Linked DNA regions of Oryzias latipes. The protein of the gene in region 1 interacts with the protein of each later gene in a biochemical or structural test. Links are inferred from orthologs where the notes say so. Each region holds a gene or a part of one and is shown on either strand. Other genes may lie near its edges.

Region 1 (3,821 bases):
CACACAGGAAGAAGCCCACTGGACGCTGCAGCACTGCTCTGGATTCATCACACTGCACTATCGAGCCAGTTTTGATGGTAACCATTGTTAGAAATAAACAGAAAATCTACCCAGTAATGTCTAACAAAAATTGGGTAATTTGGATATTTTACCTCGTCTGACAGGTGTAAAAGCTCATTTAAAGAAACACTCTGATGAAAATGGTGTTTTTAACATGTTTTTGTGGCATTTCTCTTATCATCATATATACACATATGTATGTATGTGTATGTGTGTATATATATATATATATAAAATAAGCTTAAAATGGCATTTCTGAGTATTTCTTTTTTCAATTTTATGTCAATAGGGGGCAGATGAAAATGAGCAGAGCCTATTTGTGTCGTAGAAAATATGCTGGATGGGTCATAAGCTTCGTTCTGATGCATCCACTTGTAGACAATCACTTACATGTTTGTCTTTGTTTTCCTTGTCTGAGCTGGAATCTGGCTCAAAACTGTACGGCTGCATAGCTCCAATACTGCTTACCATTTTTGTTGCACCGGTAATGTTATGTTGGGGCTGTAAGCTAGCAGGAGCGCATGTAAACAGAGAGCTCTCAGTAATGGGGAAGGGAAGGGGGCGGGGTTGCTCCATGCCATTTTTCCTGCCCACAACGCAATGGTAAATTTCTAATGTTTGCAGAATTATGTCCTAGAAAACAAGACAAGTTTTTTGTTTTTGGCTAAAAGTGGCATAATCAAAATGAAAAGACCACTGGGAACAGTTGGAAAATAGATCAAAAGATGATCGGAGTGCATCTTTGAACTGTGTCACAGAAAACAGGAAATACGGATCTCTGTTAATTTGCAAGTGAACCCTGATGTGGTCACCACAGTAAAGATACAATGGACTGTTCTGTGGGTTAAAGAGAGGAAGTAAACTTATTGAAATCACAAAAGTGGCTTCAAATTTTAGGCGAAAATAAAATGATCCACAGCTAAGATATGAAGGAGTGTGGATCACTACAGTTGGATAAATGGCTAGTTTGTGGATGAGGATAATATAGACAGGAAATGGGTTTAAAAAATACTTTAATAGGATGTATAGTTTAACTTAAACTGCGTGATATTTTGATTCCATCTAGACTTATTCAGTTTTCTAAACTTTAGTGTGAAAGCAAATCAAACCATTTATTTTTTTCTGAACTTCCAGTCAAATCTAGTCTTCTGGTCTGTCTTGTTTTAAAAGTGCGTTAATGCTGTGTTTCTGCTCTCCAGCATATCGCCGTCTCCAGAGGGATCTAGCAGATGGTAAATTAGCTTCTGGCGACTCTTTCTACATCCGAGTAAACCTCAACATCTCCGGACAATCCGACTGCTGCTCTTTAAGCGTGCGCTGCGATGAAGTTGTGCACGTGCTGGATACCAGGCACCAGGGCCTCTGCCAGTGGCTTTGTGCTCGTGTGGAGCCATTTAGTGGCTCTGACCTGGCCGAGCGTGGCACCATTCCCAGCAACTCAAGGTACTTTGCAACTGTTTGTTTAATGTTCTTTCTCATGCAGGAGGATGTTTTATAATGGACAAAAGGAGTTTTGGTTTTGTTAAGACTTTTCTCTTGGTATGAATGGGTGTGTACAGAGCACAGCAGCTGCTGCTGGTGAAGATTCAAAAGTTGGTGTGTCGAAGTGGGAAAGAAGAAATTGACAATAGCAGAGTAAGTGAAAACTTGATTTTATATTCAAGCTACATATTACACAAAACAATTGTATAGTTTTTCATATCAATGCTATTTGATTTCAGCAGACACTTAGTAAGTTAGCTTCGATTTGGGTCAAACACTGTGTCTTCTTTACCTTTTGCAGCTTAAAGATTCTGATATTCTTTCTATTAATTCTTTATGTTTGTCTAGAACACTTTAGCGCCAGAAGAAACAAGCTCGTCTCTCGATCCCAAAGCCAGTCCACGCTTGTCCAGAGCGAGCATTTTCCTCAGTCAGATTCTGCAGGTATTTAAAGAAAACCAATCCCACTCTCATGAGTCAATCTGAGCCCTGATGTGCCATTTCTTGTGGGTTTCTTGGGTTTCTAGTTCGTCGGCAGGGTGGACATCAAATACAAACGAATGAACAGCAATGAACGCGTGAGGATTGTCAACTCTGGCAGCTCATTACTACCAAGACAAGAACTGGAGATGCTCAGGCCTGAAGGTGAGCATAGAAACAATGCTTTTCATGGATGTAAGGGGAATGACGGACCTTGGTTTGATTTTAGGACTAGGGATGCCACGATTCTCAGATAAATCATTGCATTCCTGTTTAGGACCTACTAGGACATAAAAAAATCAAAATCAAAAGTCTGGAACCACAAAGCCTAGCATAAATTCAGATATTCAGATATTTATGTCAAACTGAGAGAAGCTTAAAGGGAAATAAATATATTCTTCTTCTTACTGTTTGATGGTCAAGATTTCTTTAATAATTTATTTTAAGGTGGCAACTATGTTGTATTTATAGACTAATTCATATATTAACGGAACCAATTGTCTCTGATGTTACCTGTAGGATTCTAAATGATGAACATGAATGCCTAACCCTTGTGCTATCCTATGACCCCACCCTTACATTGACGTGTTCTCCCTACCATGACAAAGGTGGATAACGGTGAAGAGGATTTCATGTAATCCATGGACACCAGTGAAGTTTACAAATCATTGAAGAAAAAAGTTCAGGGGTCTAGATGACCCAACTTCCAATGTTAAAGTGCCTAGGATAGCACAAGGGCTAAAAAAGTGGCATGAACATACAGAGTAACTCCTATTCACTCAACAATTGGAGAACTGTCAATCAAGAAAGACCATAGAGATTCTGTTTTTTTTAGGCCACCCAAGACTGCAACCTTCACCCAATCACCCAATCTGCCTTGATTTCTTATAATTGAAAGATAATCCCCTCCCTCCCTGCTGCCCCTAGAGCTGCAAATAAAAGCACCAAATATTAAGAAGTGTTTTTTGACCAGGCAGAGCACAAGTGTATTTTTTGTGTGTTATTCTGCTCTGAACCTTATTTAACACAGTGGTTTACTGGAAGGTTTTGAAACCTGCCTCTGGTGGTTCTTTGAGGAACTGCAGAAGTAGCCACTTCCTAGTTTGATTAAAGTTCTCAGAAAATCTGTTTTTATTTTGTAACATCAGTATTACTTACATCTACCATATAACATTTTTCTGAAGGCTGACTAGAAATATTTATGTTAAGCTTTTGTTAAGCTGTGTTATTGTTTTATTAATTCATGGCTGATGCTCTGTAGGCTGATGAATTCATTAGAAAGACAAAGGAGAAAAACTCTTATCAAATTAGTGAAAAATAGATGGATCTCTCCAGGAGGCAGAAAAAGTTTTAGATGACAAAGAAAAAATGAAAGCTTTGTTTGTGTGGGAGTTAAGACTTGTGCTCTAAAAAACCAGAGGATCACACATAGAAAATGAAAGATTTCTAAAAATAAAATGTGAGAGCTAGAAGGGGGTTGAAGTCTCGGTGGAGGTAGAAGAAAGCTGTTTGAAGAATAAGATGAAAGCAAAGCAAAAATGTCTTTTGAAGTAAACAGAGCAAGAGTGTTTGAAATGTTAAAAAAATTACATTTACTGGTAGACTGTAATGTCTTTACCATTGCTTTGATTACCAAACGAAATAACAAAAGAGCAAAATGTATGAAAAAAATAAAACCTCAAGTTATAACAAATGAAACCAAACCAGGTAGAAAACAGGTTTCCCTCTTTTACAGGGCCATGCTTTTCTTAAGCCTTTTGTAGGAAAAAATATCTATGTACTGGATATGGTAATACATT
Region 2 (4,549 bases), on another chromosome or scaffold:
AAACAGAAAGTGTCTCTTGTGTCAACAGCAGAGAAAAAAACAAAACAAACAGGAGCTACTTTGCTCTTAGTGCTGCTGTAAAACAACAAATTTCACTTCCTGACATGATTACAGCCCAAAAACTCACAAACTTTCATCAGCATCAAGTCAACATCTTTTATGGAGTTAACAAAAAAAAATACCTATTTGGTGTAAAACACACATAAAATAGTCAACTTTAGTCAGCACAATTCAAACTGAATAATTGTTTTAAAAACCGTCAAACTTTAGAGTTTTGTATCAAATTTATGTGTCTATAATTTGTAAATTGTCTGCATTTGTTCCCATAAATAAAATAAATATGACCAACTTTTAAATGTTATGCATTAAAATGAAAAACAATTATATTGAAGGAATCTAAAGTTTAATTTAAATTTTAATTATATTTATACATCCTTTTAATTTATACTAATATAAAAAAAGTTATCACTGTAGAAAAAACACTTTTTTTGTACTTAGAAAAGGAAACATTTAAGAGTTTCGTCAAAATTTTTAAGGCCCTGTTTAGGTGCACAATCGTTCATACACATCGTTCCCACAGCAACAACCTCCCACCACCGTGCTTCACTGAAGGATAGTTTGGAGTTTCGGGCTTGGTTTTTATCCACTCAGATTTGGATCAAACTTCTCCAAAGATTCTGGAAGTTTTTCCTTTTTGTCAGTGAGATGAAACTGTAGTACAGCTTTTCCCCTGAAGATGTCGCCATCCAACGATGTAACATTCTTCCAACAAATGTGACAGAAGACCCTCTAAATTAAAATTTTAAACCAAATTTCTTACAGTTTTCCATTTCTGTTTTTAAGAATACAAATATTGGAATAAAAATATTATAATATATCAATTGACAATATTTTTACTATTAAAAATCTCAATTAAATTTGAATGAGTCTGACTCTTTTAAATCACATTTGAATTTTTCTTTTAATTTGTTAAAAGTGTCACATCAAGTTTGTCATTGTTTTAAATGTTAAACTTGACCAAAAAAGCTCCATGTAGCTTAGTAAGAGGTAATAATTAATTTAAATAAATGGTAAGGGATAATAAAACTACTCAGAGGAAAACTATAAATGTAAATGATGTCTTTCTCTTTTTCCTGTGATGACGAATTTTACTGAGGAGTTTAAAGACTTGTGGGGCGGGAAATTCTCTATTGTTCTTCTGTTTGTTACAGATGTGTATTTGATATTTGCAGTTGTGTTTTTTATTGCATACCTAAAAGTACATCCTTGTAAAATGACAGAATGTGCAATAAAGTTTATTAAAAAAAATAATAATAAATTATGGGGCGGGAAATGACGTTTTTAGTTCTGTTTATCTGAGACCGTAGGAGGAGTAAAAGCCCAAAACTACTTTTTGTCTTTAAGCGTCTTCGGTGAGGCTCTGAAGTCGAACAAGGCACCAACAGAGACCCTCTACTTATGTTTTCCATTATTTATTTATTCCTTCAAAGCAACCTCACGTCAAAAATGAGTACCTGCAAAACGGGGGAAATTCGGGGAGTCCGTGAACGCACCATGGTATCAGCCTTTTAAACCTGGCGCGTGCTTCTTCTGATGTGTCGCGCGGCGCGGTTGAGGGCAAGAACGTCGCCTGTCTTCGTGAGGTGAGACTTTCAGTTTGAGCTTTTTAAAGTTTGCTAAAACTAAAATGTTGGAATCCGCGGCGCTTTGAAGTGGCGCGAGCGCTTTGGCACGAGGACTCCATCAGAAAATGAGGAGAAGTTTGGCTTGTTGGATCCTTGTATTAACAGGATTTATGCCTTAGCAGTTTCGGGGCGAAAATGGTGATCTAAACGCGAAATCTTTGAATTTGGTTTAATACTTAGTACATTTTTGTGTAAAAATAGACTCAGAGTTTTTGTGCTGGTTAGTGCCTCAATGATAAAACCCTGAATCCATTTGTTTGTTTGTTCAAAAACAAATCGCTTGAGAAACTTTAAATATATAATAATCTATGTTTTTAAATGTAAAGAGAGTAAAAATCAGGTTTCTTTTGAAAATGAAAGATGAGAGTCCTGCTTTTGGTGATTTTTATCTTTTTGAAGCATTTTTCTATGGATAGAGGACATTTACTTGGAAAATGATGCTTAAAATTGAATTTAAGTACCGGTATTTTTTTATTCAAACTGTTGGGAATCAGCCACAAGCTCCCTGCTCCGCCCCATTCTGATGCATCCACTTTCAGATAAGTAGATCCATGAATGTCTTTGTTTTCCTGAGCTGGAATCTGGATAAACTGTATCGCTGGATAGCTTTGATACTGCTGTTATTTTTACTGTTAGGAAGCTAGCAGGAGAGCATATAAACAGAGAGCTCTCATTTATGGTTTGGAGGGGCAGGGTTGCTGTGCAGCAACAGTCCCACCCAAAACTCAGAGATTGTTATTATTAATATTACTGTTTTTATTACTGCCGCTCTGCAGAATCCATGTCCTAGAAAACAACAGTTTATTTTTATTTGTAGCTAATTAAAAGACGATTTGGAACGCTTTGAAACAGATCAAAAGATGATCAAAGCGGAACTTCAGTTTACTTATAGAGGAAACACTTTCACACCACTTTACTTGATCTAGGCTGCACATCGCAAATGTTTTGTTATCGCAATATCAAACTGTGCAATATGCATATCGCAAAAGACAGCAAAAATAACGATAAAAGGTTAACGAGCCCTTTTATGTTAGATGTTCGCCTCCTATGTAGATGATGGTCATCTGGAGGATCATTTTTTTAATTTTTGCAGTGAAATGGAAATAATGTTTTTGGTTGTTGTGCTATCTGTTCATGTACCACGTCATCGCAATATTGATCAATAGTATCGCATATCATGAGTTTTCGTCATATTGTGCTGCCCTAACTTGATCCCAAATAAACAGTCATGTATGATAGTGGTAGTTTCATGGTGTGGGACTACTTTAATTTAAAAAACCCTCCTTCCGCTTGCTTTCAGGGCCACTTCTGAGAGAATCACATGAACGTTTTTGAATCCAGGTATAACACTAGATGCTTAATGGTTTGTTTTTATATTATTTATTATTATTATTATTTATGTAAACCAATTTGTGTTATACTTTTATATGAAAAGTGCTTTATAAATAAAGTTCAAAAGTTTGATTCATACTTATTCTGCAAAGTTATAGTAAAGCATGGTAGTGGTTAGGGCTGCACGATATGAGGAAAACTCGCGATATGCGATATTGGTGATTAATATTGCGATAACGATATAAATTGTGGTATATAAACAAATAGCAAAAAAAACAAAAACATTTTTTCCATTTCACTGCAACAGTTTAAAAATTATACTCCAAATGACCCTTGTCGACGTAGGAGGCAAACATCAAACATAAAAGGGCTCATCTGATTGGTCAACAACGTAAACGGGTCCTTCCGATTGGTTAAATGCATGAAGGGATTTATTTCATTTGCTCAATATTTCAAGCTGCCATGAGATTGTTTTAGCACATTTAAGGTAACCATTTATTGCGATTTTCGCCGTCTTTTGCGGTATGCATATTGAACAGCTTAATGTCGCGATAACGATAAATTTGCGGTATATTGTGCAGGCCTAGTAGTGGTAGTATAATAGTGTGGGACTGCTTTGATTAAAAGCAAACAGGAAAAAAAAACTCCACCTGCTCCCTTGCTGATCAACCTCTGAGAAAATTACATGAAGGTTTTAGACTTTGTGTAAATCTAATGAAATTCTGCTAATGAGTTAGTTAATTGTTAGTTAATAGTTAATTAACAGTTAATTAACAGTCAACAGTGAGGTAATGGTAGTTACCATAGTTACCAGTTTGTCAATAGCTGGATAACCTAACGATAAGATCTCTGCATGTTGTTGTTTATTATTTTTCCATATTACACTTTTATACATTTTGGATCTTTGAAGGAACATATATTCTAAAAATAAGTCTATCTTGGGGGGGGGGGCTCTGCTCTTTTTGATGGACAGACTCTTTCATGGAAGTCTGATCTTCTGGGTTTCCGTCAGCAAAGACTCACCCCCTCCTGACAACAACAAAGGTGTCTCCCCGCCGGCCCCCGCTTCAGAGGCGCCCCCACGCTGCGCTTCATAGCCGCACAGGTTCGGAGCTGCCCCGCTCATGAAAGCCTCCACAAAGGCCTCCAACCTCCTGACCTTCTTCACATCTCTGTGTTGGAGCCCGGGTGGGGGGGTGACATTTGCTGATCCCTGCTCATGTTGAGGTCTGCGGGCTCTCGATCAAACCCTTCTGCTCTCTGGAGACCAAAGCATTTCCACTTTTCGCTCCCTCATCTGCTTTCATTTAGAGTCCCGTGTTTACAACAAAACGCCACATTAACGCGAAAATTGCGTTAAATGGTTATCTTAAATGTGCTAAAAATATCGTATGGCAGCTTGAAGTATTTAACAAATCAAATGAATCCGTTTTTGCATTTGACCAATCAGATGGAGCCTTTTATGATAGATGGTCACCTCCTTTGTAGACGAGGGTCATTTGGAGTGTATTTTTAGTTATGATGAGTTTTAT

The links.
Region 2: of the proteins of card11 (region 1) and prkcq, one has a biochemical effect on the other in vitro, tested with the Homo sapiens proteins (2 studies listed by BioGRID). The link is inferred for Oryzias latipes from reciprocal best matches to the Homo sapiens genes CARD11 and PRKCQ.

What each region holds. Positions count from the first base shown.
Region 1 is NC_019866.2:18,997,749-19,001,569, reverse strand, and holds part of card11 (caspase recruitment domain-containing protein 11), read left to right. Parts: coding exon 1-77; intron 78-1,259; coding exon 1,260-1,503; intron 1,504-1,619; coding exon 1,620-1,695; intron 1,696-1,890; coding exon 1,891-1,986; intron 1,987-2,069; coding exon 2,070-2,187; intron 2,188-3,821. UniProt on the Homo sapiens protein: Adapter protein that plays a key role in adaptive immune response by transducing the activation of NF-kappa-B downstream of T-cell receptor (TCR) and B-cell receptor (BCR) engagement.
Region 2 is NC_019881.2:20,888,504-20,893,052, reverse strand, and holds the start of prkcq (protein kinase C theta type), read left to right. Parts: upstream 1-1,477; 5' UTR 1,478-1,643; intron 1,644-4,549. UniProt on the Homo sapiens protein: Calcium-independent, phospholipid- and diacylglycerol (DAG)-dependent serine/threonine-protein kinase that mediates non-redundant functions in T-cell receptor (TCR) signaling, including T-cells activation, proliferation, differentiation and survival, by mediating activation of multiple transcription factors such as NF-kappa-B, JUN, NFATC1 and NFATC2.